Linked DNA regions of Mytilus edulis. The protein of the gene in region 3 purifies or fractionates together with the protein of the main gene of each other region. This does not show direct contact. Links are inferred from orthologs where the notes say so. Each region holds a gene or a part of one and is shown on either strand. Other genes may lie near its edges.

Region 1 (7,683 bases), on a different chromosome or scaffold from region 3:
GAAAAATCATTCTGAAAAAAAGTATACAGCTAGGAAACTCAGACATGTGACAGAGGTTGAATACAACATAAACATAAATTTATACAAATTATGATACACTGCCATCGCTTTTATTTCTCATCCTACAGTCAAATCATTCCTTCAATTGCAAATGTACTCAATGCAAGCACAGTACAGCATCCATTTTGCATTATAACGTTTTAAGTGTTACAAGAAAATATTTCACTGTTGCAAAGGCAGTCTGCACCAAAAACTTTTTCAACTACTAGTCCGAAGACCAATATTCTGACATTTTTCTTATTTGGCCAAACAAAGTTTTGCAAAAACTCACTAGTCCAAATGAAATTTTACTAGTCTGGGGCATCGGACTAGTGGCTAACCGTGCAGACTGCTGAAAGGTATTTATTTTCTGTGAAAAAGGTTTGAGCAGGACTTATTTATTTATTTCTATGAAATATCTTCATTCAAAACTAATATCACAGGGACTTATTTCCCTCTTTTTTCTTATTTTTACGAAGTCCCCAATTACGGTAGAAAAATCAATAAAAAAAAAAAATGAAAAAAAATCGGGAAAATTTCCCGAATTTTTCATTCTACTAATGAACTCAAAATCGTTAACTTTTTATTTCAGATCTAGTCCCTGTTCCGGTTTTCCCCGCATTTGCGCAGAAATCTGTCTTGTTTGCATGAGACTTTGAAAAGAAAATTATATGTGAGCCAGTCCATGTGAACAGGTACAAAAACGAAAAATTTACGAAATTCTAAAAAGTGTGCATAATTATTGGTAGTAGACTTGTGATTTATAAAACACATTTACTTTCCCTCATATCATCAAGCTGTGAGCTACACGCACCTGCGAGTGTTGAGACCCCCCCCCCCCTAGTTTTATCAAGATTTTTAGTGAATTATTTCATATATTTCAATCATTTTCAAAGTACAGTTTAAATGGCTTGATTTGCCAATTGATAATGTTAAACCTGGTAGCAGTGGGGATAAGGCTCTCGCTTACGATGCGGATAACAATGCAATCAAACCGGGCAACGGTTCGAATCCCGTGCAACTAAGGTTGATTTATATAATATTAAATAACTTAACTTAACTTAAATTTCAATTTCTAAAACACAAGATGTCATAGTTTTTGCATTTTCCCTCATGTTTTAATGTTGTCTTTCTTTCTTTAAACCTGTAGAACTGACGGAAATTATTGACTTTTGTCTCTGAAGTGTCATAATTTTTTGTAGTTTCTGGTCGGTATAGCATTAGTCCGGGGAACAAATGATTTTACACTTGCTCAAATACCAAAAATTCAGATATTTCTACGTCTTTTTCGGTTTTAGTTGACAAATTCGGGATAGAATTGACAATCTTATGAATGTTTACATTAATGTAATTTTTTTTCGGATAAAATCGTTTTTCAAAAATACTATAACAAACTTTGATAACGTGTCCTGTAAAGTTTACCAAAAGGACTTTTTGTACCTTTTCGCATGGACTGGCTCATGTATCAGTCTAGTAAAATATAAGATTGGAACTCAATACAATTTCATTTTAAATAATTGTTTGATTTGAAAAAAACGTTACCTGATGGAAGCGTTTCTTTTGTTTACATTGAATATGACGTCATAATTTAAACAACGTCACAGCTAAATCCCTAACCACAGAACCGAAATCGGGAACGTTACGGTATTTCCGTTTCCTTTATTAACATGTTTGAGGTAAGAAAATAATACATACAGACTTTGTCCACATTCACAGGTTATGCCTGCCTCATATTATGGGGACGAAGTCCCCAATTACGGTAGAAAAATCAATAAAAAAAAAAAAAAATCGGGAAAATTTCCCGAATTTTTCATTCTACTAATGAACTCAAAATCGTTAACTTTTTTTTGTCAGATCTACTTCCTGTTCAAGTTTTCTCCGCTTTTGCACAGATATCTGTCTTGTTTGCATGAGACTTTGAAAAAATTTATATTTATCAGTCTAGTAAAATATAAGATTGGATCTCAATACAAATTCAATTTTAATAATTGTTTGATATGAAAAAACGTTACCTGATGAACCATTTCTTTTGTTTACATCGAATATGACGTCATAACTTAAAGAACGTCACAGCTAATTCCCTAACAACAGAATCAAAATCGGGAACGTCTACGTACGGTATTTCGGTTTCTTTTATCAACGGGATTGAATTCAAAAAATTAATACATACAGACTTCTTCCCCATTCACAGGTTATGCCTGCCTCATATTATTGGAACAAAATTCATAGAGCTGTGATTTTTGTTCTGGAACTTGTAAACAACAAATGACTTATTTCACATTTGATAAAAAAATTAGTTCCAGAACAAGTTTCACAGTGCTTCTGTGATATAAATACTGGTGGAACATATTTCCTATGAAATTTGTTTCGGATGGAACAAATGTCTGACACGCCTGAACAAATATTTTGTCACACATGGATCCCCCTTTTTTTTCACTTTGGGCTCGTATGGATAGTAAAAATAGGTATTGTAATCGACTAGTAATGGATTGTTGAGACTTTATATATGTCGATACAGTGTAGATAACTTTTTTTAGTGAAAAAGAAAAGGGGGGTGCATGCCCCAAATATCTGTGTACTGAACTGGCTTTACATTGTCTCATGAGTTTTCGTTTATTTTACCAAATTGATTTTTCGGATGAAATGGATGTCTTGTCCCTTACCCTTTGAGTTCTTATTAGACTCCTTTGAGCCAAATTGTGGTCAAATGTCCTCCTTTTACTTCTAGCGGTGTTTTAATAATTTAGACTGTTAGAGGCCGGCTGCTGTCTTAGCTATAGCTTTTAAAACTATTATCAATATATCTAGACTACGCATGTTCTAAAACTTACCTCAACACTTTTGATAGGTGCTGAAAGATCTGTTTTGTCAGAGGACGACATATCTTTAATAAATAAGTTTATTTTCTCATATTTTACATTTCGTCATGGGCGCAGACATCTTTTTTTGATCTCCCTAACGAATGACCCACACTCGTCCTACTGCAATATCGTCCCAAAAGTTCACTCGCTTAATATCAACTGTCCCACTAATGTAAAAGACTTAAATCCCGCTATAAAATTCTCCGTGAATGAAAGACGGATATATCGGTTAAGTAATGAATGTGAGTAAAGTTCTGCTTAATAAAGGTAGGCTAACTTGCACCATTTATAAAACTACAGTAGATGCTCTAAAGAGCCTGTGTCGCTCACCTTGGTCTATGTGAATATTGAACAAGGGACACAGATGGATTCATGACAAAATTGTGTTTTGGTGATGTTGATGTGTTTATAGATCTTACTTTACTGAACATTATTGCTGCTTACAATTATCTGTATCTATAATGAACTTGGCCCTGTAGTAACAGTGGAAAATGTTAGTAACAATTTACAAATTTTAACGGAAAATTGTTAAAAATTGGCTATAAAGGCTGAATAACTACTTAGGGGGTCAATTGACCATTTTGGTCATATTTGACTTGTTTTGAGGTCTTTCTTTGCTGTACATTTTTGCTGTTTACAGTTTATCTCTATCTATAATAATATTCAAGATATAATAACCAAAAACGTCAAAACTTCCTTTAAATCACCAACCAGGGGCAACGGGTTGTCCGATTCATCTGAAAATTTCAGGGCAGATAGATCCTGACCTGATAAACAAATTTACCTGTGTCAGATTTGCCCTAAATGCTTTGGTTTTTGAGATATTAGCCAAAAACTGCATTTTACCCCATATGTTCTATTTTTAGCCATGGCGGCCATCTTGATTGGTTTGCCGGGTCACCGGACACATTTTTTTAAACTAGAAACCCCAATGATGATTGTGGCTAAGTTTGGTTAAATCTGGCTTAGTAGTTTCAGAGGAGAAGATTTTTGTAGAAGTTAACGACGACGGACGACGGACGCAAAGTGATGAGAAAAGCTCACTTGGTCCTTCGGGGTCTAGTTGAAGGTTTTGAATTCTCAAAGATCTTTAATATGCTGAATCTAATTATGTGTAAAGATTTCGAAATTTGAGCCCCGTTGTTAAATAACTGAGGCTCATTTGAATTTTGAATTATTGTGTATCTTTGATATATATGCCTTATCTAACCGTATATTTAGACTTTTGAATATTGGACCTGCTTTCAAATTGGTCCACATTAAGGCCCAAATGGTCCAAAGGGTTCCAAAGGGTCTGAAAATAAAACTTTGTTTGATTCTAACAAAAAAATTAATTCCTTAGAGCTGACTCTAACCGTGTCTATTGATTTTGGAATTTGGGCCCTGTTATCAAACTGGTAGACACTGAGCTCAAATGGGTGAAAATGAAACTCGGTTAGATTTCATAAAAAATATAATGAACTCTTTGGGTACTTTGATATGCTGAATCTCACTATGTATTACAAATAGAATAATAGGTAGTTTCGTTTTTGATACTGACTATATCATGTGGAATATCTAGACGAGCCCGTTAGGACCAATTACCGATAAATCGATATATCACTATTGCCCGCGTCACACTGTCCCGATTTTTATATACGATGGACACACGAATGCGAAAATTGTAAGTTCGTACGAAGTTGGTCCCGATCTCGTTAAAATACCAAAAAGTGACTGAAGCAAGTACGATGAATAACGAAGTCTGTACGATGGTGCCGAAATTATATACGATAGCAAAAGATGGACATACGAAGGTTAACCGAAGACGGGTATTTAAGCTTCATATCTCAGCCGAAGCCTACACGATGGATCACGAAGGCTACACGATGGATTACGAAGGCTACACGATGGATTACGATGATGGCGCGATGGCCATACGATGTCTAAAAGACGTCGTGTACAGCTTACAATGCATTTACGGCATCACGCGTTTTAAATTGTTTGATCAATATTGAATATATAAATATGCATATTCAATTTACCATTTTCTGTATGTGTCATATACAAATATAGTGTCCATATTTGTCCCCAATATGTTACATACGAGGGGATGCCACGCTCGGCATTGCCTTGTTTGAACTGTAAAATGTGTGCACTAGTCTGAATAATCACCCATAATTATGCCCATGTTTACTGATCTATCTTAAAGGTAAGGTAATGGGTTCGTTGATCCCTTTTATTCAAAAATAGCTCTTTCCAGGAGAATATCATAATAATATAGACAAAAGGGAGGATGTGGGGAAAGCAACAAATGCGGCAAAATGTGACATATAGAAACATAATGGTTATGGAGTAAACATTCTTGTGACAACAACTCAGTCGATACATAAAAAATCAGAATAATGAAGAAAAAGTTGGTTTCCCTATATACGTGTACCTGCAGTGTTGGTGTACGAGGCGCATTTATGATTTTCATTATGTTACTTGATATGAAAAATTGACAAAAAATAATATTTTACTTGTAAATCCTGAGCCTGTAACAGTTGCTCTTCTTGTTCCGTTTGAATTAATAGAAACAACGCCGCTGTCGACTTTCTTGTTCTCATAGTATCATATGATATGAGCTCCATGTTTTGTGAACGTCTTCCTTAACTGTCGTATTAGACTGACCAGTGCATATCGCGCATGGCACTTTAAATGTATTTTAGCGCAAAAATTAACTTACATTTAGCTGGATTTATTGCCGTCGTAGTTCCATCTTGTCGCCTTCGTACTTTTATTCGATGGCAACACGACGGGATTACGAGGTCTTCACGAAGTCGTGTTGCCATCGTAAGACCTTCGGGTAGCTTCGTGATTCATTCGTGTAGACATCGTAATGTCAAAACTGCCCGATGGAAACGATGGAAACACGAATGCAATACGATGTTCAAAGATGCATTCCCGGTGACATTACGATGGTGAGGATGGTGATACGAACTCAATACGAACCCTCAACATCGGACGCACCTTAGGGGATTTTTTAACATGTTAAAAAATTTAGAACCCTTCCCGAAGTTGTCCCCGAAGGCTAAAAAAAAGTGGCCGATGGTTCTACGATGGTTAAAGATGGCACTACGAATAGCCCGATCTGGATACGATCAGTCCCGATTTTGAAAATTTCCATAATCGTGTTGTCATCGGCGTAAAAATCGGGACAGTGTGACGCGGGCATATGTAAAAGCAAAAGTATTTGGTATTTTAAATTTTAATAGAATGCATGCATTGGAAGATTTATACGTTAATTCGAATATGAAAGTGAAATATGCGAGCTAATAATACGTGATTGAAGAGTCATTTTGTTGGGATGTCATTTTTAAGTCTAATTCCATAAAATGAATTTTTAACAATTTGTTGTGTCATACGGTGATCCTGGTATAAAGGAAGTTTTTGTTCAAGATCATAAAAAAATGGCCTAAAAAAATATCTAAATTCTTAGAATAGTGATTTTTTGACTTATTAAACAAGAAATTATTTACCTGTGTAGTGGTCTTCCATTCTTTTTCGATCTGTTGTTTATCCAGCTTAAATTCTCCAATAACAGCATTTGTTTGCCTTGTTTGTTTGACATAACTGTGACATATAGTATATGGACACTATAATTATTATTTCAACTTGAATATATTTTCTTTATATCATTTTCCAATAAAAAAAATAAAAAGATGTGGTGATGATTGTCAAGAAGAAACTTCATACCATAGACCCAATAACGTGGATGTTAACAATTATACGTCAACAATAAAATAATTCCGTATCGCAAAGCAGGGGCGGATCCAGCCATTTTAAAAAGGGGGTTTCTAACCCAGGACAAAAGGGCAAAAAAAAAGGGGGGGGTCCAACTACATACACCAATTCAAATGCATTGATCGTCCAAAAAAGGGGTTCTTACCCCCGAAACCCCCGGATCCGCCACTGCAAATTATCATTGTCGGTCATAAAAGCTCAGAGAGCTTATGTTTATTTGTTATGTAACATGCCGACTATAAATAAAGCTTTTGAATTGAAAAAAGTGAGCTATAAAAGGTGCCGAAATGACAAATGTAAAACAATTCAAACGAGAAAACTAACGCCGGTCTGATTTATGTACAAAACAAGAATGTGTCCATAGTACACGGATGCCCCACTCGCATTATCATTTTCTATGTTCAGTAGACCGTGAAATTGGGGTCAAAACTCGAATTTGAAGAAAAAAAACTTTAACCTGAAGCGAACGGACGAACGGACGCATAGACGGACGGAGGCACAGACCAGAAAACATAATGCCCCTCTACTATCGTAGGTGGGGCATAACAAGTAACAAATGAAAACCACTGAATAACAGACTCCTGACTCTAGACAGTCACATACAGAGTGTGGTGTAGTTTTTTGCTGATGCCATCTCTAATCCTGTAACCTCGGACAGTGATGTAACAACAGTTCGACATAAGGACGACATTTTGCGGAGTCATTTAATACCTATCCAACATTACTGTCCAATTTTGATCAGCGATTACATACGATCATAGTGTACGTACATTCTTCGTTTGATTTATTTATATGCCCAACTATGGTTATCATTTGATAAAAATTGGACTTGAAATTATCTTATCCTAATATTTTGAAAAATCCATATCAGACATTAGAGGTTCCGACAGGGTTAACACATCAACTTAACAATGAAAACCTTCGTTACAAGTTTACGTCGTACTCTGTAAAATAGTTTTACATATATCGTTCATTTGTTTACTTTATTGACAACACTGTAACCTGTACAAAATAGAATTTA
Region 2 (7,781 bases), on a different chromosome or scaffold from region 3:
CCAACTCCATCAATAGCATTTATAATTTCTTTGTGGGCTTTCACAGAATATACAGGTAATTCCATTGACTCTAGGTTCCTATAAACAACAATAAAACATATAAACCAGATATACTAAATTCACCATCAGGATTTTGGGGTTTTTTTTGTCTTATGTTTCAAGGGACAAGTAGTATAGGATAAATGTTCACACATTGATGTTTAGGTCAAGCAACAAATTAAATGCTTAATTTTAAGTCCACAGAAAGACTTGACACATTATTCTAACTATGAGCAAACCAGTCAGCATTCTTTAATCTTGAATAGGCCTTAGGCATGTTAGGGACATTGTATTTTTTTTCTTATAGCAAATAAGATTATCTGTAATTTGTAATACATTAAAAATATTTAATTTACAAACCATATCTGCATTTTTCCATCGAAGTCTCCTGTTGCAAAATATCTTTGCTGTAAACTTGATGCTCCAAATGTTCCACATTTCAAAGCTTTTGATTTCTCAATCTGTTAATAAAAATTATATAGCAGATTCATATATATATATAAAATGTACATGTATGTTTTTTGTAATGCATTTAATGAGAGTATCACAAGATTTTATATTATAATACATTGTACAAAGGTTTATCTGTCTGGATATAATGGAATAAATGTATTGTTCAGTTTACTTGAGAGAAAAAAAAACATGATTACTACCAAATAGCAAAATTATCAAAATAAAATCTACATGTATTTCATCTTTAAATGACTATTTAAATGAACAAAATTTCCATTTACTTTTTAGACTGAGTGACAGGTCAAATTTAATTAAAACTATTATATGAAAATGAAATTAGACCACATATAATCAAAACCAACACATAAAATTCTGATCCTTGCTTGTACATGTTTTAGGTACAATGTATATTAGACTTTTCACACCAGGGGTTGGAAAACCAGCATGGGAAATTGTGGGTAGGCATACGCCTCCATGGGGTAAAACACCAGCAAATAGTGACAGTTGGCCTGGCAGGTACATGAGGTATGGGTAGGAGCAAACCTGTGAGGTGTGAACATGTTTTGGAAGTGAACGGACCCACTTGAATATACATGTACCAAAAAATAACATAGGTGGATCCAGGGCCCCCCTTTTCATGGAAAAAACTGTGGTTGATTATATAGGAAATCGCCCCAAACTGGTTTATCAAATCGCCCCTCTTTTTAAAAAATCGCCAACTTGTGAATGGGTTAAATCCCGTTAATAATGTTAATATTACTCCTGCCTACTCGCCCCACTTAATGAAAAACGTTATGCATATGGAACTAAACACATTTATTTCTAAAAAAACAGTTGTTGGCATGACACGGGTTATGTTCTTCTCATATATTTTATGATAGTATGATACTAAACCCCTAACGGGAGGGATTGTACCTGATATTCATATGATGAAGACATAATCTTTCAATCAGTTTAATTGAGGTCTGGAGCTGGCATGTCAGTTAACTGCTAGTAGTCTGTTGTTATTTATGTATTATTGTCATTTTATTTATTTTCTTTTGTTACATCTTTTGACATCAGACTCAGACTTCTCTTGAACTGAATTTTAATGTGCGTATTGTTATTCTTTTACTTTTCTACATTGGCTAGAGGTATAGGGGGAGGGTTGAGATCTCATAAACATGTTTAACCCCGCCGCAATTTTGCGCCTGTCCCAAGTCAGGAGCCTCTGGCCTTTGTTAGTCTTGTATGATTTTAATTTTTAGTTTCTTGTGTATAATTCGGAGTTTAGTATGACGTCCATTATCACTGTACTATTATGCATATTTTAGGGGCCAGCTGAAGGACACCTACGGGTGCGGGAATTCTCGCTACATTGAAGACCCATTGGTTGCCTTCGGCTGTTGTTTGCTCTATGGTCGGGTGGTTGTCGCTTTGACATATTCACCATTTCCTTTCTCAATTTTATTTTATACTTTTGTAGATGTGCAAACCTATCATCTGAGAATAAAATTATTTAAACACAGATGATTCTTGACTTATTTTATAAAAAAATGAATATATTTACCAGGGAAAAAAATGTCACATAAATGCTGATTCTACCTTCTTTCTGTTTAATTTTTACCATGCAAAAGAAAAAAAAATGCATTTCAAACGTTCTCATAAGTGGGATGAATTGGAAAACCTACACTCTTTACAGTTTTATTATTTTATTCATATGTTGGGCTAGTTTGTAGTCATAAGTGGGGGGAGTTGGCATTGCTAAATTCATTGTGTTTTATTTATTTGTCATGAACATGATGAATGGAGCGAGGTGCCAGACCGTATTTCAAAGATATTTTAACCCTTTACATAAGTGGGGTAAGTTATCCAACCTATTTTCAATGGGATTTTACCCTTTTTAATGTGCCCATTTCTAGTCAATAATTATAATTAAATAAGTTTCCTTATTTTTGTATTCTGTGTAGATTAGTCTCATATTTACAAAAATGTAAGTGGGTCGATTTGGCAGATAAAAAATTATAAGTGAATCTAAATATTACCGTTTTTCATTAAGTGGGGCGAGTTGGCAGTAGTTATATTAACGGAATTAAACCTATTTCACAAGTGGGGTGATTTAAAAAAAAAAATGGGGCAATTTGGTAATCCAGTTTGGGTCGATTTTTTTAAGTGGGTGGTTTTCGTGAAAAAGTAAGGCGATTAGGTGTTGGGGGATTTACCAGTGGGAGATTTGTCATGGATTCGTCAAACAGATAGCGATAAGGTTCAACTTTAATTTTCCAATTTAACAGATTTAGACTAACCTGTTGTAGACAACATACATTACTACAAGAAACAGATAGTTGGGAAATTTGTTCTTACTTACATCATGAACTAGTTTGACATCACCATGTTGTACTTCATAAACCTGAAATGCTCCAGTTCCGCGTGCATGGTTACCGAGTACAATAAATTTTGCGCTACACGGAATCCATTTTGTATCAAATAATGTGTAATTTACTGGTTTCTGTACATGGGAAATAATCTGTGGCTTCTCCATTTTGTTTTAAAACACTTTTAAAATAAGAAAACTTGTAGAAATTCGATTAAACCCAATCTTGTAGCAACATGAAATTTCTTTTTCTTTCGCGAACTTTAACCGGAAGTGAAACTTTCCTACCTTATTGCAGAAGAGCTCTATAAATAAAAACAGGTGCTGCTAAAGTCAGTTAACTCGATACTTTGCCTTTGTTATGACACTTAAGTAGATATTTTAACATTTCTCACTTTAATATTATGTAGATAGATAATTTTCTGACAGAGTGATTACAAACCCCATCACACTATCATGACTATTCACTGATTTAGTAATAATTTGATATTGTCAAGGATTTGTATAGTGATATTGTCAACAAACAAACATGTGCAGCTGGAATAAATTTTTGTTATGCCTAGTGGCTAGAGCTAGTGGCAAGCAGAAATGACATGAAGCAGGTGCTACCTGTTGAGAACATAAAAGTTATTAGTGCATGTTTATTTTGCTTTATATAGTGGATTTCTTGACCTGTATTATTTTGTCAAATTTACCTCCACCAGACAGGCAACTTGGGCAAAAAAGGTCTCTTTCCTGTCTGTCACTTAGCTTTGCTGACTTGTCAAAAGGGAAATCTAGTGCGCCTGTTATTGCCCAAGGGTAAAAACTTAAATCTAGTCCCCCTGTTGTTCACCCTATTCGCTTTCAGTTGCTTTCGTCATCAGGAATTTGATTTTTTTACCAAATCCATCTATAAGTAAAGATGGGGGGGGGGGGGGGGGGGGGGGGGGGGAGGGTGCATGGTTCTGAATACAGATCCATGTGGAATAAAATTTGCAAAAATGACTTGCATTGAAAACAAAAATCAGGAAAAGCTATAAGCACCAGAAATAAAATAATAAATATTAATGAAAATAGTGCTAGAAGTTATGTAACTCAGCTGTTCATGGAGATCATGCAGTCATTATTAATAGAAATGAAGACCTTGTGGTTGCCTTTTACCATCTGTTAGTTGTATTAGATTTAGGAAAAAAAAATGTGATTCATTGTAATTTTATGTACTTTAATTTACAATATTTATATAGCACATTATCTAATTAAAATTACTCTAAGCGCTTAACATAAAACAATCAATGCAGTTAAGAGAGGTGTTTAAAAACATAAAAACAATCAATGCAATAAGAATGAAATAAAATTTTGAACACATAAAAAAAAACTTTACTGCATACAGTACATGTATATACATATATACCGTAAATACATGTATACCATATCTGGTCGACTTAAATTATTCTGGTTTACCTTTGAATTAAATGCATGACAAGCCAGAGAAATAATAAGTACAGACATAAAACACAAAAAACAAACAAGGGGGAAAAAGGAAGCATGCACATCGAACCAAATATGGGGGAAATGATAAATAAAACATCGAAACACATAAGCACACGAAATAAAAAGGCAAAAAATTATGCACGGAAATAAAACTTTATCACACTCAGTAAAAAATCAAAGATATAAACATGTATATCCGTAAATGATTTATTTTCTTTCAAAAAGAGGTTAAAGCATTGAATTAACAGTTCATGAATAATTAAAGGAACATACAATAAACTTATTATTTCATAAACGTAAACATGATAAAATCATGAAAATAGATGTGTTAGTAATCCAACTTGAAATAATTTTGTTGTTGCAGAAATTGTAATTATAGAAGAGAATGTCTAGCACTATATCAGTTTCCAAGAAAAGAAAATCTACATTAGACACAACTGCTTCATATTCAGTAAATAATGCAAAAAAGAATAAGATGTCGAAATTACCCAAAAGTCCAGTCGATGAGTTACATATGATGAGGAAGAAAGAGCAGGTTGAAGAGTCAGATACAACATCTGAGGAAAGTACCGTTGAAGAATCTGAATCTGAAGGTTCAGATGCACAAGAGGCTGAAGCTGATGAATTAGTAAGAATTAATAAGTTGCATAAGTTAAACATTTGTACAACTTTACTATACAATGTATATATATATATAGTTTATTTTCACAAACTGATCCACGCTTAAATAGATTGAATGTTGATTTTTGCTATTTTTAGACATTATATAAAATAACAACTTGTTAGGATTTGTGATTTCTTCTACTAGTTAAAATCACTTCTCACAGATATTTGTTTGAAAGGAGTTAATAAAAATATTGTTTGCCTCAGAGTTTAGGAGAAATCTTATTCAATAAACTATATACATTTCACAAACTGGCCTTAATGTACATTGAAATTCTATAAGTGAACCAAGACCTGAAGTGGTAGAGTTAAAACAAGTGAATACTGCTAGGTATAATTCCCAGTTATCTTTAAATAAATAAGAATGTCGCCACACAACTTGCACAAGACAAACTGTCATTGTTCAATTACTCTAAAGATAGACACAAAAAGAAATTATATTTTGTACAAAACTTTTGAATTGTACTACATGTATAATATTAAAGTATAAAAAAAAAATCAACAGGAAGCTTCAAGCCTAATGGACAGAACAACAGATTACAGTAACATTAACACCTAAGAAAAAACAAATTAGAGGTCATTTTATATGTACAAACAAAGACAAAACCAAAACAAACAACATATGGTCCCAAAATAATATGTCTTCTCAAGGAATTGCATTCATTATCAAATCAATAGTTATTGTTTTTATTTTTTGTTTTTAGGTAACAGTTAAGCAAGGTAAGTTACATATATATATATATAAGGCATCAGTTAGACAGCAACCAAACAACAAAAATATCCAAAAGGCATCTAGGCAGGAAATGAAAATTACATTTTAAATTTATTAGTTTGATGTATGGAAGACTTTTCTGTAATTGCCTTCCTCAGAATGCTATTAACGAAAAAGATGCATAAAATGCTTCGAACCTAAAAAGACTAATAAAAACCATATACATGTATGGTTAGCTTTGACTCAAGGAGTTGGAACAGAAGATTCTGTATAATTTCTAAATTTGTCAACCACACTGACAGTTTTAAGAAATGTATAATAAACTATGTCAATTGCAAAACAATGACTATTGAGCTAATAATATTCTTGAGAACTAACCACCAGCAGCTGTATCAAAGTTGTGCTGAAAAATGAAAATAACATTTCATAAATTTGGTGGCCTGAAGCAGTCTTCTGGATTAACTTTCATCAAAAACATTCCACACCAAATTTAAATGCCAATGATGGGTAAGAAGAGTGATATACTTTCAAATTAATTTATAGGATATACAATTTGGTTTCAGAATTATCAAATATGTCTTTTGAAGAACTAATACAGTTGAAAGAGAGGCTTGGTTTAAAAGTGTAAGTATATTATTCTTCATTGAGATAACAAAAAGTCTCCTTGTACTTGAACTTTAACGCATTTGTAAAGTGTAAAAAAATCTTCAGTTCAAATTTTTTATGAAAATGTCAAGAACTTAAAAATTCCTGGATTTGTGATTTTCTGTTCGTGGTGATGCTCAAATCATCAGCGTAACAAAGCTGAAATATACTCATGCCAACTCATGTTCACTGTGGCCTTTAACCTTGAATTTTGTAATGATATTGATAAAGCTTAACTCATATTCAAATGTATTGTATCTGTGTATTCAAGTTGAATGATTTTAAAATGAAATAGGTCTAGAAAATTGAACCATATAAAAGTGTACCCACTCCAACTGTGGGCTGATTGGAATTGACAAAATCCAAATAAATTGTAAAATATCAATGTTATTTTTTTTTTTTACACAATGTGAATATTTTCAGATATAACCAAGTAGTACATGGAGATAAAGTGAAGAAGCCTACCTCTAAAAGAGTTTTTAAAAGAGAAAATAAGAACAGGTAACACTATCCAATAGCTAAAAACTCATTAAATTGAAAAAGGCAGTAAATATATTCCTTCCTTATTGGTGCAATTATTAAATTTTGTAAATACACAGGACACCTCAAATGTGAAGTGAACAAAATGAATCACTCCATGTGCATCATAACTTTTGATTTTTAACTGGATTTTTGTGACAAAAATGTCGGTTATTGATTTGGGAAAATACGCCGGGCGGTCGGTCGGGCGGGCGGCAATCAAATGTTGTCCGTGCATGAACTCATGAACCAATCAACCAAAGCTTTTAAAATTTTAATATGTTGTTACTGACAACTAAATGAAGGTCAAGTTCAATAATGGCGATTTTGACTCTTACAGTTCAGGAGTTATGGTTCTTGAAAGATTGAAAAATGGAGTTTTCAGTCGTGTCTGTGCATTTACGCATGAACAATTCAACCAAAGCTTTTAAAATTTTAATATGTTGTTACTGGTGACAAAATAGAGGTCAAGTTCAATAATGACGATTTTGACTTTTACCGTTCAGGAGTTATGGTTCTTGAAAGATTGAAAAATGGAGTTTTCAGTCATGTCCGTGCATTTACGCATGAACTGTTCTACCAAAGCTTCCCAAATTGTAATATGTTGTTACTGATGACAAAATGGAGGTCAAGTTCAATAATGACGATTTTGACTTTTACCGTTCAGGAGTTATGGTTCTTGAAAGATTGAAAAATGGTGTTTCCAGTCGTGTCCGTGCATTTACGCATGAACCATTCAATCAAAGCTTTTCAAATTTTAATATGTTGTTACTGGTGACAAAATAGAGGTCTAGTTCAATAATGACGATTTTGACTTTTACCGTTCAGGAGTTATGGTTCTTGAAAGATCGTAAAATGGCGTTTCCAGTCGTGTCCGTGCATTTACGCATGAACTGTTCTACTAAAGCTTCCCAAATTTTAATA
Region 3 (7,861 bases):
ATTCAACAGGATAAATTTGAGTGTTCACATCAAGAATCAAGTCCATCTTGAAAGATTCTGACTCACAAAATAATCTGGATACTGAAATAAAGATAAATCATTATACACATTGTCATCAGGACAAAAACTTTAAAAATTAAAACAAACTATAATAAAGAAGAATCTGACATCTCTTTAAGATATAATTTATTTTCATACTTCATAAATTTGAATAGTTGCCAGTGAAATATTTTCTCTTTTCTATAAGTGCTGTGAATTATATAAGACATATAATAACTCCAAAAACACTCTTATCCAAGATAAACAAAAGAAACACTAATAGGATTACTGAAATATGATAACTTGTGTGGAATATATAACAAATGTTATTTGGTTGTTTACATAGGGAATCACTGAATCATGTCAGTGGGTCTCCCCTTTAAAAAAGTTCTAGATCTGCTGCTGAGGGTATATATCTATGAGATGATAAAACAACAACACATCAAAATAAGTGAAATCTAAAGTTCAAAATTTGACCTTCCACAAATCACAACAAATGTTTAAAAACATTTTAAGCTCTAATGCAATTTTCCATGATTCAAGAATCTTCTGATACCAAATTTCCTAAATGACAAGAAGATATATTAAACAAACAACCATGGCACTGATGAGTAACATGGTGAAAAGGAAGACCATGCAAGGTTTAGCAGAAAATAAAATTAATCAAATCACTGTGCAAAATACATGTACTAGGTGTAAAATATAAGTTGTATTCATCCATATTGAAATCAATAATTATGGATTGCTAAATAAAATATCTGGTTTAATGCTTTGTAATGAGACATGATTTTTCTAATCAGTTACAACAGCTCTTCTAATGAGAGCAGATGATCTAAGGAAGAAAGATCAAATATCAGTGCATGCCAGTAACCTTGTCATGTTTTGATTGTAGATTGTGTACTTCTTGACTTTACTGTTATTATCTTCAGGTAACTATTGATACAGTAATCAAAGAAATTACCGCAAAGAAAACTCAACATGCATGTCTTTTGATATCATTTTTCTTTTCCCTTTTCACATATTTCTGCTTGGTTAAAAAAATATAGAGGGAAAGAATGGTTTATTTTCCTCAAATTTAATTTATTTTAAGTAGAGCAAATGAAGAACCATTCCCTTTTTATAAGTTGAATTGCACAAAATGATCTTCTAGTAATAATTAACTAAAATATATGCAGTTAATAAAATAGAGACTCAGGCATACATACTTGTCTATAAGATTTCCTTTATTTTTCAAGTTTTTTTTTATTTAACAAAAAATAAATTGCTGATGCTCTGCACAACTTTGGTATACATGTACATGTATGTACACATACCAAATACCATATTGCTATAGTCTTGTTTATAGAGTATTCTTGATAACTGTTGATAAGTATGTACCCTACAAAAGTCAGAAGGGGCAAACCTTAAAAGTCCCATTAAATTATTAGGTAAAAGACAAGAATGATGCCACTCTTCAATAATGCCCTCTTTCAAAAAAAAAAACCCTTATACATAGTAACATACAAATGTATGGTAATGTGTTTTTGTAGAACATTCACTTCACATAAATAATCAAGAGTGAATTAACAATTGTTTAATAAAATATTACAAATAAATTAAGAAGAGTTTGTTGAGGTGTAATAAAATATATAATAGAGTAATGGTAAATATGAGAGGTGAATGAACTTGTCAACCCACAGGTAACATACAGGTAAGTAATGTGTATTCCCTTTCCTAGGCAACCAGTGCAAGATCCAACATGTGGCTTCTGTCAGAAAAATGTCAGTGATGGCAAAAAAAGATTATGTGTTAAGATTAAAAAACAGAGGACAAGACAAATACTCTAATATGCTACAATTTATATTGTAATTGAAGTTATGCAGTATATATAGTAATGACAATACAATACTATTGTCAAGTGATTGATCAAAAGGGGTGGTTACTATCATGTTCCAGCCTGTTAATCAGATCAACTTTAAATCAATAGCAGATAACATTGATCATATTATTTCACTGCAATATCAATCATCATTTATCATGGTTTTTTTTTTTTTATCTTTTTGCATGAAATAATAAGTGCAATTTCATGTATAGAAAGAAATTTCCAAGACACCAAATTAAAACACATAATTCAAAGCCTTACTTGTACTGGTGTGAGGTCACAAGTCCTGGGTCCACAGTCTACTTCTAAATGATCTCCAAAGCATACATCAGTTTGCATCTTTAGTTGAGGTTTAAGTGATAAAATCATGTCAATTTCTGATATTTACAGATCTTCAGTAACATTAACAGTACCAATCTCTTCTCTTGATTGTGCCAGAATGAAGTACTAACAGTCGGCAGGGGGTTTTGTACTTCTTTTAATGTGACAAGCCAATCACATGAGAATGGTCTGACATGAACAAACATGTTGTCAAAAGACCGGGTACATGCTGGAATTCCAACGTATGAACCAAATTTCTGAAGTTTTTTTTCGAAGAAATTAAGAAAAGAAAACATTGCTTATAGCTTCAGCTAAATTATCACCTTGGCTAATTTCCAAATATTGTTGGAATCTAAAGGAAAATGTCACGTTTCACCCGGCAGACGCCATCTTGGAATGTCATTTGCCGGTAAATGAGATTGAACACGTTTGGACAGCATTCAACCTTAGTGACAAGTAAAAAAATATTTGAAAAATAGTATTTTATTTGGCTTACCTCTGTCGAACTTTTTCCCATCAGGATCAATGTCTTTCACATCAAAAATATCTTCAAACAAAACTCCAGCCATTGTTTGACGACAAAATTAGCAGTCAAACTTTATTTCCTTTCTTGTCCAAAGATCGTTTTTCTTCGCAAAACAGGATATTTCCAGTGTTAGAGTAGATGTTCAAGAATACCAAAATACAAATTATAGGGCTTATATTGTTCTTATTTAATCAAAATTAACGTTTAATGTTTGCTAATCATGCTAATTGAAACCGGAAGTGGCAATTGAAATACATTTTTCCTACTTTCATTATTAAAGAGTTCACACTACGTGACACGCCCACTTTTTGATAATTTTCGGGGCGACGTATGGGGGTCTGATGTAATGTGCGCAGAAATAACGATGGTCAAGCGCGAATGATGTTACGTTTTTAATTCTTGTCAAATCTATTAACTGATTAATACACTAAAGTTAGCAAAGCTTATAGCTGGGAAAATAATACATTTTCTCTCAAGATAAAATATGATCATTTTTAAAAAACTTTGATTTAATTGGCGGAATTTTATTATTGGCTGCTTAGCATCCAGTGGCAAATATTTCAATATGACAATTTCCAAATTCATATCAAAAGTTTTCTGGAAATGAAGAAGTGATCAGAACTGTGAAAAATATATTGAAACATAGAAATTTGATTTCCTTAGTTATGGTAACTATCATGACATCATAGGTGTGTTAGGAAAATCAGTCCTTTCTAAATTTCATTTCTTAGACAGTCCTTTATTCCATTTCAATTTTTTATAATGAATATTTGAATAGTTAAATAATGACACTCGAGACCTCTAGTAGCAAAACATTCCCATTTAAATTCTTGAACGGAGAATTGGTCCTGTGTTTGTTTACCATAACTTCAAATAAAACAATGCATACATGAATTTTTTTTCAGAACAAGGAATTTTCCTGTAGTCTTGTAATAAAACTGAGACAATAGGCATTTTAACCTTTGCATATAAGTCGATGGATTGTTGTAGCTTATATTGAACTGGACATAAATTATACTAGTAAATTATTTAACCATATGGGCCTTATATGAGGGGGAGGACAGGGGTAAGGGAGACAGGGAGAAAGGGGGTAGGAGAAAGGAGAAACGGGGTGGGAGAAAGGAGAAAGGGGGTAGGAGAAAGGAGAGGAAGGCTGGGAGAAAGGAGAAAAAGTTGGAGAAAGGAGGTAGGAGAAAGGAGAGGAAGGCTGGGAGAAAGGAGAAAAAGTTGGAGAAAGGAGAAAAAATAAAATATCTCTCCTCTTAAAAATTTTTCTAATATTTCAAGAAAAAATATCTCAAAAGGAGATGTTTTATTCTAATGGGAGAAAGGAGAACGGGGGTAGGAGAAAGGAGAAGAGGGGTGGGAGAAGGGAGAAGGGTACCCCCTGTCCTCCCCCTCTTATATACTATCCATTAGAGTTCCAAAAACACATTTGACCTGGACCAATTAATTAAGCAGTGATATTTGCACGGCTGACTGGCACTACGGCTTACTATTCGAACTTTGAGCAATGAGTGTACATACGTATAGTGGTATCTTGTTTCGTCACGTAGATGCATGAGCCTTTTCATGTTTTTTTTTTATTATGTGATAAGTTGGCTTGTTTTAGTGATTATGTGATAACCAGACCAAATATTTCAGTCATGATTATTTATTTGATAATCTAGGACGGTTTTTGATTATTTGATTATCTTTGTAAATAATTTTATGTTTTGATTGGCAGTTTTCATTATGTGATTACTTGCATGGACATCTCATGAGGGTTAATCAAGCGTGGATGGTACTTTGCCCCTTCTTACAATGTAAATATTCAATTACATTTGTTAAAATGATCCGTATTTGGAATTTAAGCTGTACAATGTAAAAACCCTTTTACAAGGCGGGATATCGCCCCCTCATTTTTACGTGAATGTTGTATAATTAGAGCCCGCGAACTGAAACGATCTACGTTAACTCATTGGTTCTATGAATACACTTATCCTTAAAGGTTATCGTTTTATCGATCACTGTATAAGATCTTTGAAGGATTTAACATTGATTTGGTTATTATTGAGTTAAAATATACCTAATTTGTAAATATGCTTTTGTTATATACAGCTATGAAAACTTGTCATATTAGATTTCTCCTTTGAATTGCTTTAAACTTGTCATATCGGGACCGTTTGGTTTTGCCCATAGTTGAAGGCCCTACGGTGACATATATATAGTGGTTAATATTTACGTCATTTGGTGGAGAGTTGTCTCATTGTCAAAAATACCACATGTTCTTGTATTTATCTTATCATATGCTCCTAGTTATATTACACTGTGTCTAAACCACACCGGCAAAATTTGCTCGGACTCGATGGTATCTAACATCCGGCACAATGACGGAACACCAATAGACAAAATAAAGGTAGGTTTCTCCTTATTTTTTTATTTTTTTTATGATATCGAAGAATAAATATACATATACAACTATTTTCTATTGTGAGATGCAATATTTTCTACAACCGTTCTATATTAACGGAGAAATAAGTCAAAATGCATGTCAAAATGACGAATTGAGTGAACCTTGCCTCGAAATTGTTTAATTTCTCGTTAAATTGTTCACATTGTACGGAAAGAAAGGTACGGGAAGATAGATATTGACACGGAGATTGCAAATTTAGTTATTATGAGCATCTCCATAATTGTATCTCTGTGTATGGAACGAAAGAAATGGGTCATGTCAAAATGGAACTGGCCGGTTTCGTCAATGTATACAACCCGGTTTCGTCATAGATTTCAAAATGCATAACCCGGTTTGGTCAAATAAAAAAAATCATAATCGCATTACATTTTAATTGATAATTAAACTTCAGCGTTCAAAAGGAGTTTTGTGGGTCGTTGGAAAACAATGTTCGTTCACCGGACAACGGCTTATTATTTATATGAGTCTCAGATTCAAATAAATGATAAGCAAAAACTTGAATTCCTACTCTTATAGAACACAAATATTTTAATTTACTCAGTGTCAGAGTGACCTTTTTCATGACGTCTGTGGCCACTTATTGTTTTTAATTTTTTCCCACAAAAACAGCAAACAAACACATTTTGATCATCGGTCCTGTTGATTGCAGTTGAAACAGCTGATGAGTTTTCATTGATAAGTTCATGAAATGACTCATCTAATGCCTCAATTGTAACGTTTTCTGTCATCTGAAATAATAAAAAACAACAGATTATTTTAAAATGTCTATCAACATGAAAAGTTCATACAAATTCCAAGCGACAACAACCCGACCATAGAGCAGAAAACAGCCGAAGGCCACAATGGGTCTTCAATGAAGCGAGAAACTCCCGCGTCCGGTGGCGTACTTTAGCTGGCCCCTTAATAAATATTTATACTAGTTCAGTGATAGTGGACTTCATAGTAAACTGCGAATACATGTATATTTATTATATTTAAGGGATAATTTTAACTACGATACAAGTTTCGGCACACATCGCGCATTTACTATACAGGCTCTGTCATCGGACGAGTTAAGGTTTTTCATCATTTTTTATTATTTGTACTTTTGTTGTACTGGTTGTGTCAGCGACAACACTTTGACTCAGTCCATTCCCGAATCACACGCTTGTAATTCCATGGGTGTCTTTGGTTGCTTTATACCATATGCGTTTTGAACATAAAATAGGCAGGTAGTTTTCTTGTTTGAATTGTTTTACATTTATAATATAGGGCCCTGTTGTAGCTTGCTTTCATGCAGTTTGTGTGTTTTTCTCATTGTTTAAGGCATACGCTGACCTAAACTTGATTAATTCAACATAATTTTTGTGTCTAAAAGAAAGTTGTCTCATTGTCAATGTTTATGGGATAAGTGGTTACCGTCACTTCTTCTTAATAAGACCTAGATATAAATGACGATCGTGTTTTGCAAATCAACTTTTATTCACATTGAAAATACAAAACTGTCAGATATTGTTTTCGAAAGTTATCTTAAAGTTTCAATTGAATTTGAACTGTACAAAAAATGAATTTGAACTGTAAAAATAATGTGAAAAACATGCCTATGAAAATAAATGTGCCTACCAGAAAAGGAATGTTATGGATGCTTGAGTGTGAAAACTCGCTTTAGTGCGCAAGTAACACAGTATATATAGTACCAGAAAATCTGGCAGGACTGCATGCATGATTAATTTGTGCAGAACAGCATAGACTATAGTCGGTTTGGGACTGTTCGTCAATGATTGAATGCATAAATGTATAAATAATTGATAGTAAATATTGTAAACTAAGTGTATATAATATAGTACTAGTATAGTAAATTAAAATTATGGCACAATCAAAACACATCCTTTTATTTTTCATCTTTACATACTACTATTATAAACAAAGAAAATATAATAATGTTACAAAATAATTAGATACCAGTGCAGTATTTATATTCCTTTTAAAATTAGTTTGAAGTCAAGTGAAATAAGGGATACGCCTTTCATTAGGAAAATGTGTATTATCATAATTAACTATGTCCAAAAGTTCCCGTTTAAAATAGATTTTAACACGCCAAGTTTACTTTACAATAAATATATATTTAAATTCTCGAAAGACAATGTTCCGATCCGTGCCAAAGTCTCTTTTCATAAATTGTTTGTTAAAAAAAAACAAAAAAAAACCGGGTGATATATATAGACGAAACCGGGTGATTGTGAAGTAACAACATTGACGAAACCGGTTTATTTTAATTTGATATGGCCCTTTTCTTTCGTTCCATACACAGAAACACAATTATTGAGATGCTCATAATAACTAAATTTGCAATCTCCGTGTCAATATCTATCTTCCCGTACCTTTCTTTCCGTACAATGTGAACAATTTAACGAGAAATTAAACAATTTCGAGGCAAGGTTCACTCAATTCGTCATTTTGACATGCATTTTGACTTATTTCTCCGTTAATATAGAACGGTTGTAGAAAATATTGTATTTCACAATAGAAAATAGTTGTATATGTATATATATTCTTCGATATCATAAAAAAAATAAAAAAATAAGGAGAAACCTACCTTTATTTTGTCTATTGGTGTTCCGTCATTGTGCCGGATGTTAGATACCATCGAGTCCGAGCAAATTTTGCCGGTGTGGTTTAG
Region 4 (7,099 bases), on a different chromosome or scaffold from region 3:
ACAAGTCTAATATATTCCTAAAAGATGGGACCTAATAAATTTCGTCCAAGGCCAATACAAATCCTTGCCTGGCACCATACATGTCCTTATTATACATGTACCTCAGTTATCATTTCCTATATATAAAGTCAGTACACAATATATTGATTAATTTTCAACGTGCAAGCGTTTAACTATTTGCCAGTGAAACTATTTGACCACAAACGTCAATATATTGCAAAATTTCAAATGCAGCTACAGGATTGGAGAATACTGTGGTAGTTGCCATGTCACATTTTTCATATGTACCTTATGTATCAAGGTTTGACACCAGTCAGGATGTAGCCTATAAGCATTCAGAATACACATGAAACAAACGCTAAACAGTATAGTTGTCTTTCTTCACATATATAACGAAAGTTGATTTAATTAACCCCAACATTTATATCTGTTGTCTCTTTCGGTATAATTAAAGGCAGTGTCTGCGCGTACCCACATTTGGGTACGAATAGTCAACTTGCCATTCGTAGGCTACGGGTACACAGTGACACATCCTGTTTTATAAAACATGCCATCGGATCCAGAATGAAACATGAAATATAAACGGACATTATCGATAATATGGGGATCTCGTGTAGAAAGAGTGAAGAGTATGAAAAAATATATTTTCAAATTGTATTTATTTAATAATGATACATAATAAACATTGCAAATTAAATGCACATCCTTTGATGGAAAATGAGACTGTACAGTCCCTGTAAAAAAAAAAACTTGATAAAAATGAATACTATTATAAAATGTAAATGCAAATTTAAAGAATTAAATTTTACTGAATTTGAAAAATACCCATATGAGATTTTTTTTAAATGTTTTAGTAAAATGTAAAACAGAAGATGTTCAAATAAACATTTTGCTTCCCTCGCAATCAGGTTTTGTCCATCTTTAGTCATGCCAAGTTTAAAGTGGAAAGGACAATCCATTTGAAATGTACTAAAAGTAGGCATACATATATCCTTTATATTAAGAACGGTTTAAAATAGTAAAACTAGAAGTATTTGACATAAAAAAAACTTGACCTGAGACTACTATAACACATAGTAGTCTCAGATGTGACTAATGTATAAAACGTGGCAAATTCGATTTAATACTGCACTTTAAAACAAATACTTTGTATTAGGCCTTTTTCCTACCAAATTTGTTTGGAATTTTTTGCCTCCATTACATTCATGACATTACATGAAAAATGTATTCTGTTAGGGACGACATCAAAAAATCTATGGAAAATAAAAAACTTAATTCAAATAGTTTGGGGGTGGGGTTATAATTCCTGCAAGTTTTGTTTAAATGGGGTGGGGGGGGTGTTAGGTGGTCAGAGAAAAACTATGGTATATGAATTAAGTTTTTTCTCTTACATTGAACTTTTGATGTCGTCCCTTAAACTTTAATTGTATAAAATTAATCAACTGTTCTAATTCATGATACCAATGGAATGTCTACCCACATGTTTATAACTCTTTTCAATTTTTTAAATGAATAATTATTAACTGAAATAACTAGAGGCTCTTAAGTGTCGCTCACCTTGGTCTATGTGCTTATTAAACAAAGGACACAGATGGATTCATGACAAAATTGTGTTTCGGTGATGGTGATGGTGATTTGTTTGTAGATCCTACTTTACTGAACATTCTTGCTACTTACAATTTTCTCTATCTATAATAAACTTGGCCCTTTAGTTACAGAGGAAAATATTTTGTAAAAATTTACAAAATTTAACCAAATATGAAAATTGTTAAAAATTGACTATAAAGGGCAATAACTCCTTCAGGGGTCAACTGACCATTTTGGTCATGTTGACTTATTGGTAGATCTTACTTTGCTTAACATTATTGCTGTTTACAGTTTATCTCTATCTACAAAAATACTCAAGATAATAACCAAAACCGGCAAAATTTCCTTAAAATTACCAATTTAGGGGCAGCAACCCAACAACCGGTTGTCTGATTCATCTGAAAATTTCAGGGCAGATAGATGTTGCCTTGATAAACAATCTAAACCCATGTCAGATTTGCTCTAAATCTTAGGTTTCAGAGTTATAAGCCAAAATCTACATTTTACCCCTATGTTCTATTTTTAGCCATGGTTGGCATCTTGGTTGGTTGGCTGGGTCAGCTGACACATTTTTTAAATAAGATACCCCCTTTAGGCCAGGTGAGCTAAAAACTGTTCACTTACCTATATATAAATATTTACAAATCTTCTGATTAGTTTTAGTCAATTTATTCACTAATTACGTCAAATTCTGTATATATTTCACATTTTATTCCCGATCTGATGACATTTCATTATAAAACCGGATGTGGGTACGCGCAGATATAGTACAAATAATTATGACGTCTGGCAAGGCTATTTTAATTTTTTTTCTGGGACGCCTCTCAGAAAGAAAAAAAATAGCCTTGCCAGACGTCATAAGGGAGCTAGCTACCATTTGATTTATATGGGGGGGCTAGGATGAAAAATTTTGACCTGCATTTTTTTTTAGCTGTAATCTCTGTCCTGCCTTTTTATTTTTCACTCTAATCGGTCCTGCCTTCTTTTTTTTTTAGTTTATCCTGACTTTTTTTACCTAAATTGTCGTCCTGACTTTTTTTTTTGTGCAAGTGTCACACATTTTATAAATATACATTAGTGTGTCTTTCTTTTCTCTTCGTTGTAATCATTGATTTAATTGTACTCAAATAATTGTAATCATTTTGTAATCATTGTACCAAATTTAACTTGTGATTATTCTGCCTGTAATGGGCGTCTTTAATTGACAATAAAATATATTTGATTTGATTTGATTTGCCTTTTTTTTACTCAAAACTCCTGTCCTGCCTATTTTTTTCAAATATCATCATTAATTATACCTTCAGATAAAATATTTAGCACATATTTGACATCAACTGTCTTCTATAAGCGTCATCTCGACGTTGATCTCCACATTGTTTCTTGTTTCACTTTGTACTTTCGTTTTATTTTGGTAAGACTTGCTTCTGGCATAGACGTACGCCGAAGTCCGACGACTTATCGAATACAAACGTACGTTATTGTGCCTTAACGGTGGAATAATTTATTGAAGAAAGGCGTAAGATACCAGCTTTTCTTGTAAATTTTGTGCAACTCAACATAAAATTTCAAGATCAAAACTGTATAAAAAAGACTAGAATATTTTTTCATACAATTTGTAGGTTCTCAAAAATAATTGCCTGGACATTGAACTTATCTAAACAAAAACGGTGGACACTAATAAGACATTTCAAAGGTTTGAAAGGTTTTAATTTTCAAATGAATCAATTTCAATAAAACAGTCGACTGCATGTCTGCCGGGGGCATGGTGTTCTGCTACTTTTGCAAGACTGACTAGAAAGTTTTATAAGTCCTTATCATTAAAAACATCTACTATTATATTTTTTTTCTCAATGGTTAGCATGGGTAGAAGGCTACAATTTAAATTTCTATTATATAATATCAGAGACATATCATACAATAGTTGCGAATCTCTTGTATTATATGTCTCTGATTGAATGGTATATGTAGGGACGATGTACTGTACATGAAGACAGTTAAGGTCGCAACTAGAAATTAACATTAATCTGTATACTATATGTCGTCTCAAAAATACTTACATTATTTTTCTTTTTATTCATATTGAATAATTTGAATATCATCTATATCTTCAAAGATCCAAACATGACAAGTTGAATTGCTCCTGCATACAACGACCTAAGACAAAACCGTTTTTATTGGAACCTACATTGACATCTTTATAATAAAAGTAACAATTGTTACAATCATTAATGAAGAACTATAGATCTTTTTTCACTGTAAGGCCGGAATATCAAAATAAAATAACTTACAAACAACCTGCTGGTACTGTCACATCAAGCTCCAAGAAATTTCTCCCCAAATTATTATTCTACATTTTATCAGCAAACAAAAAGTTAATGTGAAACGGGCTGCTCTGAGGTGGTGATATAGATATGAATACTGAGAACTCAATGAAAATGCCTCTCTTGATGCACAATTAATTAATATCAAATACATTTGAACATCATCATTTAGGGACAACACACTACTTCTTTATATGTATAACATAAAGACAGATTGAAGAAATATTAAAACTGATTCATAAAACAGAATGGCCAACACATATCTGTTTTAACAAGGAAGGAACAAATAATACTTTGTGAGAACAAATACTCTGATTCGAGATTTTTTTCTCTGAAACAGACATAACCATAATGCTGAATTTTAATATATAACTTTAGTTTTCCCATTGTTATCTTTCAATTTCTTGGTTACACCAATCAATCAGTTCCTCACGTATATTGAGTATATATTGCCAAGTCGAGAAGACATTCTAGATCTAGCGTATCCTATCATTTTCTTGGTAGAGGGTTTCTGCTTATAGTCAAGCAATTGTATTATGTGTTCCCAGTGGTTTAGTTGAATTTATCCCTTCGAAAGTTTTACAGACGCAATCATGATTTGGTTGGCCATTGTGGAATATCAATGATACATGATCTTGGATTTGGATTTTGTCTAGTGCTGTGTAATCTTTTGGTTTTTTTTTTGGGTTTTTTTTGTGACGTGACGACTTCTCAACATAAATGACGATTTTTACCACTTTGTTTAGCGCATTTGATTATTATCAGCAAAACAAGACATCTACATGTGTCTACATGTTCCAAATTGTCAGTCGACAACTGTATAAATAAGTTGTTACCCCTAAGCGATTATGTTTACCTATATTTTGTACATTTAGCCAAAAGCAGTCGATAAAGAGAGACTATAAACTAACAGCTAAAATGACCAGCAAAACAAGATCTGTAAATATAGCAACACGACAAAATTGACACATTGTTAGTTTTCTCGTTTGAATTGCTTTTACATGGTTTTTTCGGGGCCTTTTATAGCTGACTATTCGGTGTGGGTGTTGTTCATTGTTGAAGGCCATAGTTGTTAATTTCTGTGTCGTTTTTGTCTCTTGTAGGGAGTTGTCTCATTGGCAATCATACCACATCTTCTTTTTTATACATATGATCTATTACTGCCCTGAAATGAAGAGTAAGCCCTCTTTCTGTGTTGAGCAATAGTTATATATAAAGATGGAGAGAAATTATAGAAAAGCAAAAATGATCAAAAGACTAGACCTACTGTACAAGCAGTCCAAACAAAGTCGAAAAATTCAACATTTAAAAAAAAAAGTTACTGCGATAAATAATGATGTCTACCCTTTTATTTATGTGTTTGGCAAAACTAGAGTAGATAGAAACTAAAAACAGAAAAGTCATCAGCAATACAAGATAAATAAATAGAGATCTTTATACATGGGATTATATTCTGTTATTATGTTCTGACATTACTAAAAATGTACATTCATCCTGAAGAGCGAAATGGGCTCTTTAGAGCCTCTACGCACTTTTGACCATGATGTCTGATTATATATATATGTTTATTTTCACCTTGGTGATTCCCCTCAGTTGTTATTACCTAAATGATATCTAGTTGCAAAATAAACTTTGAACTACTGTCATTCAAATAAGATATAATTATACCCCACACAATTTTAGAGTCCGAGTATATTGTTTTTGACCAGTCAGTCTGGCTGTCTGTTTGTCAGTACTTTTCTTGTCATCAAATCGCCTCTGAAACCATACAACCGAATTTCATGAAAATTTATCTATAGATAATAAGGACATACTATGTAGAAATGCATATCGACAAGAAATTAGGAGTTAATTTTTTTCCTTTGCACTTATTTGCCTAAATATACTACTGCAACAGTTTGTCATCGCAACTCCTGTAAATATACACAACAGAATTTCATAAAACTTTGTTGATAATTATCACAAGAAATGTTCATCAGTTGACTTTTGGAGAAGATAGTCTTTGAACTTATGAATCTAGTGAGATTCTGTCAATGTGGGGGCGTGGGGTATGTGAGTATGCTCACACAGGTTCTTTTAAATTTTGGAAATGTTTCTGTCAATTGATAACATGGGAAAGACCAGTGCTACCAAATTTTCAGTGAATGATGTATTAATCATTCTGATTAAGAATACAAATCTAATGAACTACCTCCAAAGATAACAGCAGGTTTTTTTTTGTCAAATAACAGCTAAAATTGAATGCCAGGATTATCACAGATCTTGTCATTTATCGGTTCTAAATCTACTGGCTATAATCTACATTAATTATTAATGGCTGATCTTTTTAAGTGTTATCTAATTACAATTACCAGTAGCACATATTGCTCATATGCTGAGACTTATTTCTTTGTAAAAATTCAATATCCATGAAATCTATTTGTTTTTACCTCTGTTGAGTTCTATTCAAAATAATTGATAACCAGATGCTCCGGAGGGCGCAGCTTTTTACTACCGCAGAGGTGAAACACTGAACAGTTAAAGCAAGTATGGACACAACATTCAAGCTTGATACAGCTCTGAATTTGGATTGTGATTAAATAGTTGACACAGCAAAGGTTTCTAACACAGAATGAATATGGTCTAATGAACTTAAAATTTTTGTTTTGCTTTCGTGCTGTTGAATATTAATCCCCTCCCAAAAAAATATTTGAAGAAAAAGTCTTTTTAATTTCTGAAATCTAAAATGAGAAAAATTTTACAGCTATACATCTCAAGACAATCATCATTTCTTAATACATAATTTTCAAGCTTTGTAAGGGAGGTAATCAAGTAATCAAACATATTTATAACAGTATTCTTTAACTTTAAATTAGATTACCTCCTTAACACTGCGATGGCGAAGCTGACACTAACGTGATACCAATATACGACCAAAATTTAAAATTTTTTTGCTGTCGAATAGAAAAATGCTACTGTAGAGCATCTTTTCTTGATATACCTTCAATATGTAACAACAATAAAACCAAATATTTAAATGCCAACAAATATTGTATAAAATTGAGAATGGTAAAGAGCAGAATCAGAACGGGACCACCAATAGTTCTTAAACTACACTGTGACCAAAAGCTAAGGAACATAACAGAAAAATACAAACTAGCTAAGAATAATTTTACCCGATGCAGTAGGATGCCTATTTTCTTGGTAATTTT

Evidence for each region.
Region 1: the proteins of DNA-directed RNA polymerases I, II, and III subunit RPABC3-like (region 3) and DNA-directed RNA polymerase III subunit RPC2-like purify together in Homo sapiens (affinity purification with mass spectrometry; 5 studies listed by BioGRID and IntAct, with this or other methods). This does not show direct contact. The link is inferred for Mytilus edulis from reciprocal best matches to the Homo sapiens genes POLR2H and POLR3B.
Region 2: the proteins of DNA-directed RNA polymerases I, II, and III subunit RPABC3-like (region 3) and dynein axonemal assembly factor 10-like purify together in Homo sapiens (affinity purification with mass spectrometry; 3 studies listed by BioGRID and IntAct, with this or other methods). This does not show direct contact. The link is inferred for Mytilus edulis from reciprocal best matches to the Homo sapiens genes POLR2H and DNAAF10.
Region 4: the proteins of DNA-directed RNA polymerases I, II, and III subunit RPABC3-like (region 3) and DNA-directed RNA polymerase III subunit RPC8-like purify together in Homo sapiens (affinity purification with mass spectrometry; 5 studies listed by BioGRID and IntAct, with this or other methods). This does not show direct contact. The link is inferred for Mytilus edulis from reciprocal best matches to the Homo sapiens genes POLR2H and POLR3H.

What each region holds. Positions count from the first base shown.
Region 1 is NC_092353.1:3,000,244-3,007,926, reverse strand, and holds the start of DNA-directed RNA polymerase III subunit RPC2-like, read right to left. Parts: upstream 3,004-7,683; 5' UTR 2,922-3,003; coding exon 2,871-2,921; intron 1-2,870. UniProt on the Homo sapiens protein: Catalytic core component of RNA polymerase III (Pol III), a DNA-dependent RNA polymerase which synthesizes small non-coding RNAs using the four ribonucleoside triphosphates as substrates.
Region 2 is NC_092346.1:9,760,879-9,768,659, forward strand, and holds the start of dynein axonemal assembly factor 10-like, read right to left. Parts: upstream 3,014-7,781; coding exon 2,840-3,013; intron 501-2,839; coding exon 400-500; intron 79-399; coding exon 1-78. Other genes in the region: ribosomal RNA processing protein 36 homolog, read left to right, coding at 4,704-4,946, 5,686-5,701, 6,257-6,317, 6,762-6,839. UniProt on the Homo sapiens protein: Key assembly factor specifically required for the stability of axonemal dynein heavy chains in cytoplasm.
Region 3 is NC_092348.1:81,823,386-81,831,246, reverse strand, and holds the start of DNA-directed RNA polymerases I, II, and III subunit RPABC3-like, read right to left. Parts: upstream 3,007-7,861; 5' UTR 2,791-3,006; coding exon 2,718-2,790; intron 82-2,717; coding exon 1-81. UniProt on the Homo sapiens protein: DNA-dependent RNA polymerase catalyzes the transcription of DNA into RNA using the four ribonucleoside triphosphates as substrates.
Region 4 is NC_092352.1:85,911,517-85,918,615, forward strand, and holds the start of DNA-directed RNA polymerase III subunit RPC8-like, read right to left. Parts: upstream 3,013-7,099; 5' UTR 2,886-3,012; intron 2,324-2,885; exon of another isoform or gene 2,212-2,323; intron 1-2,211.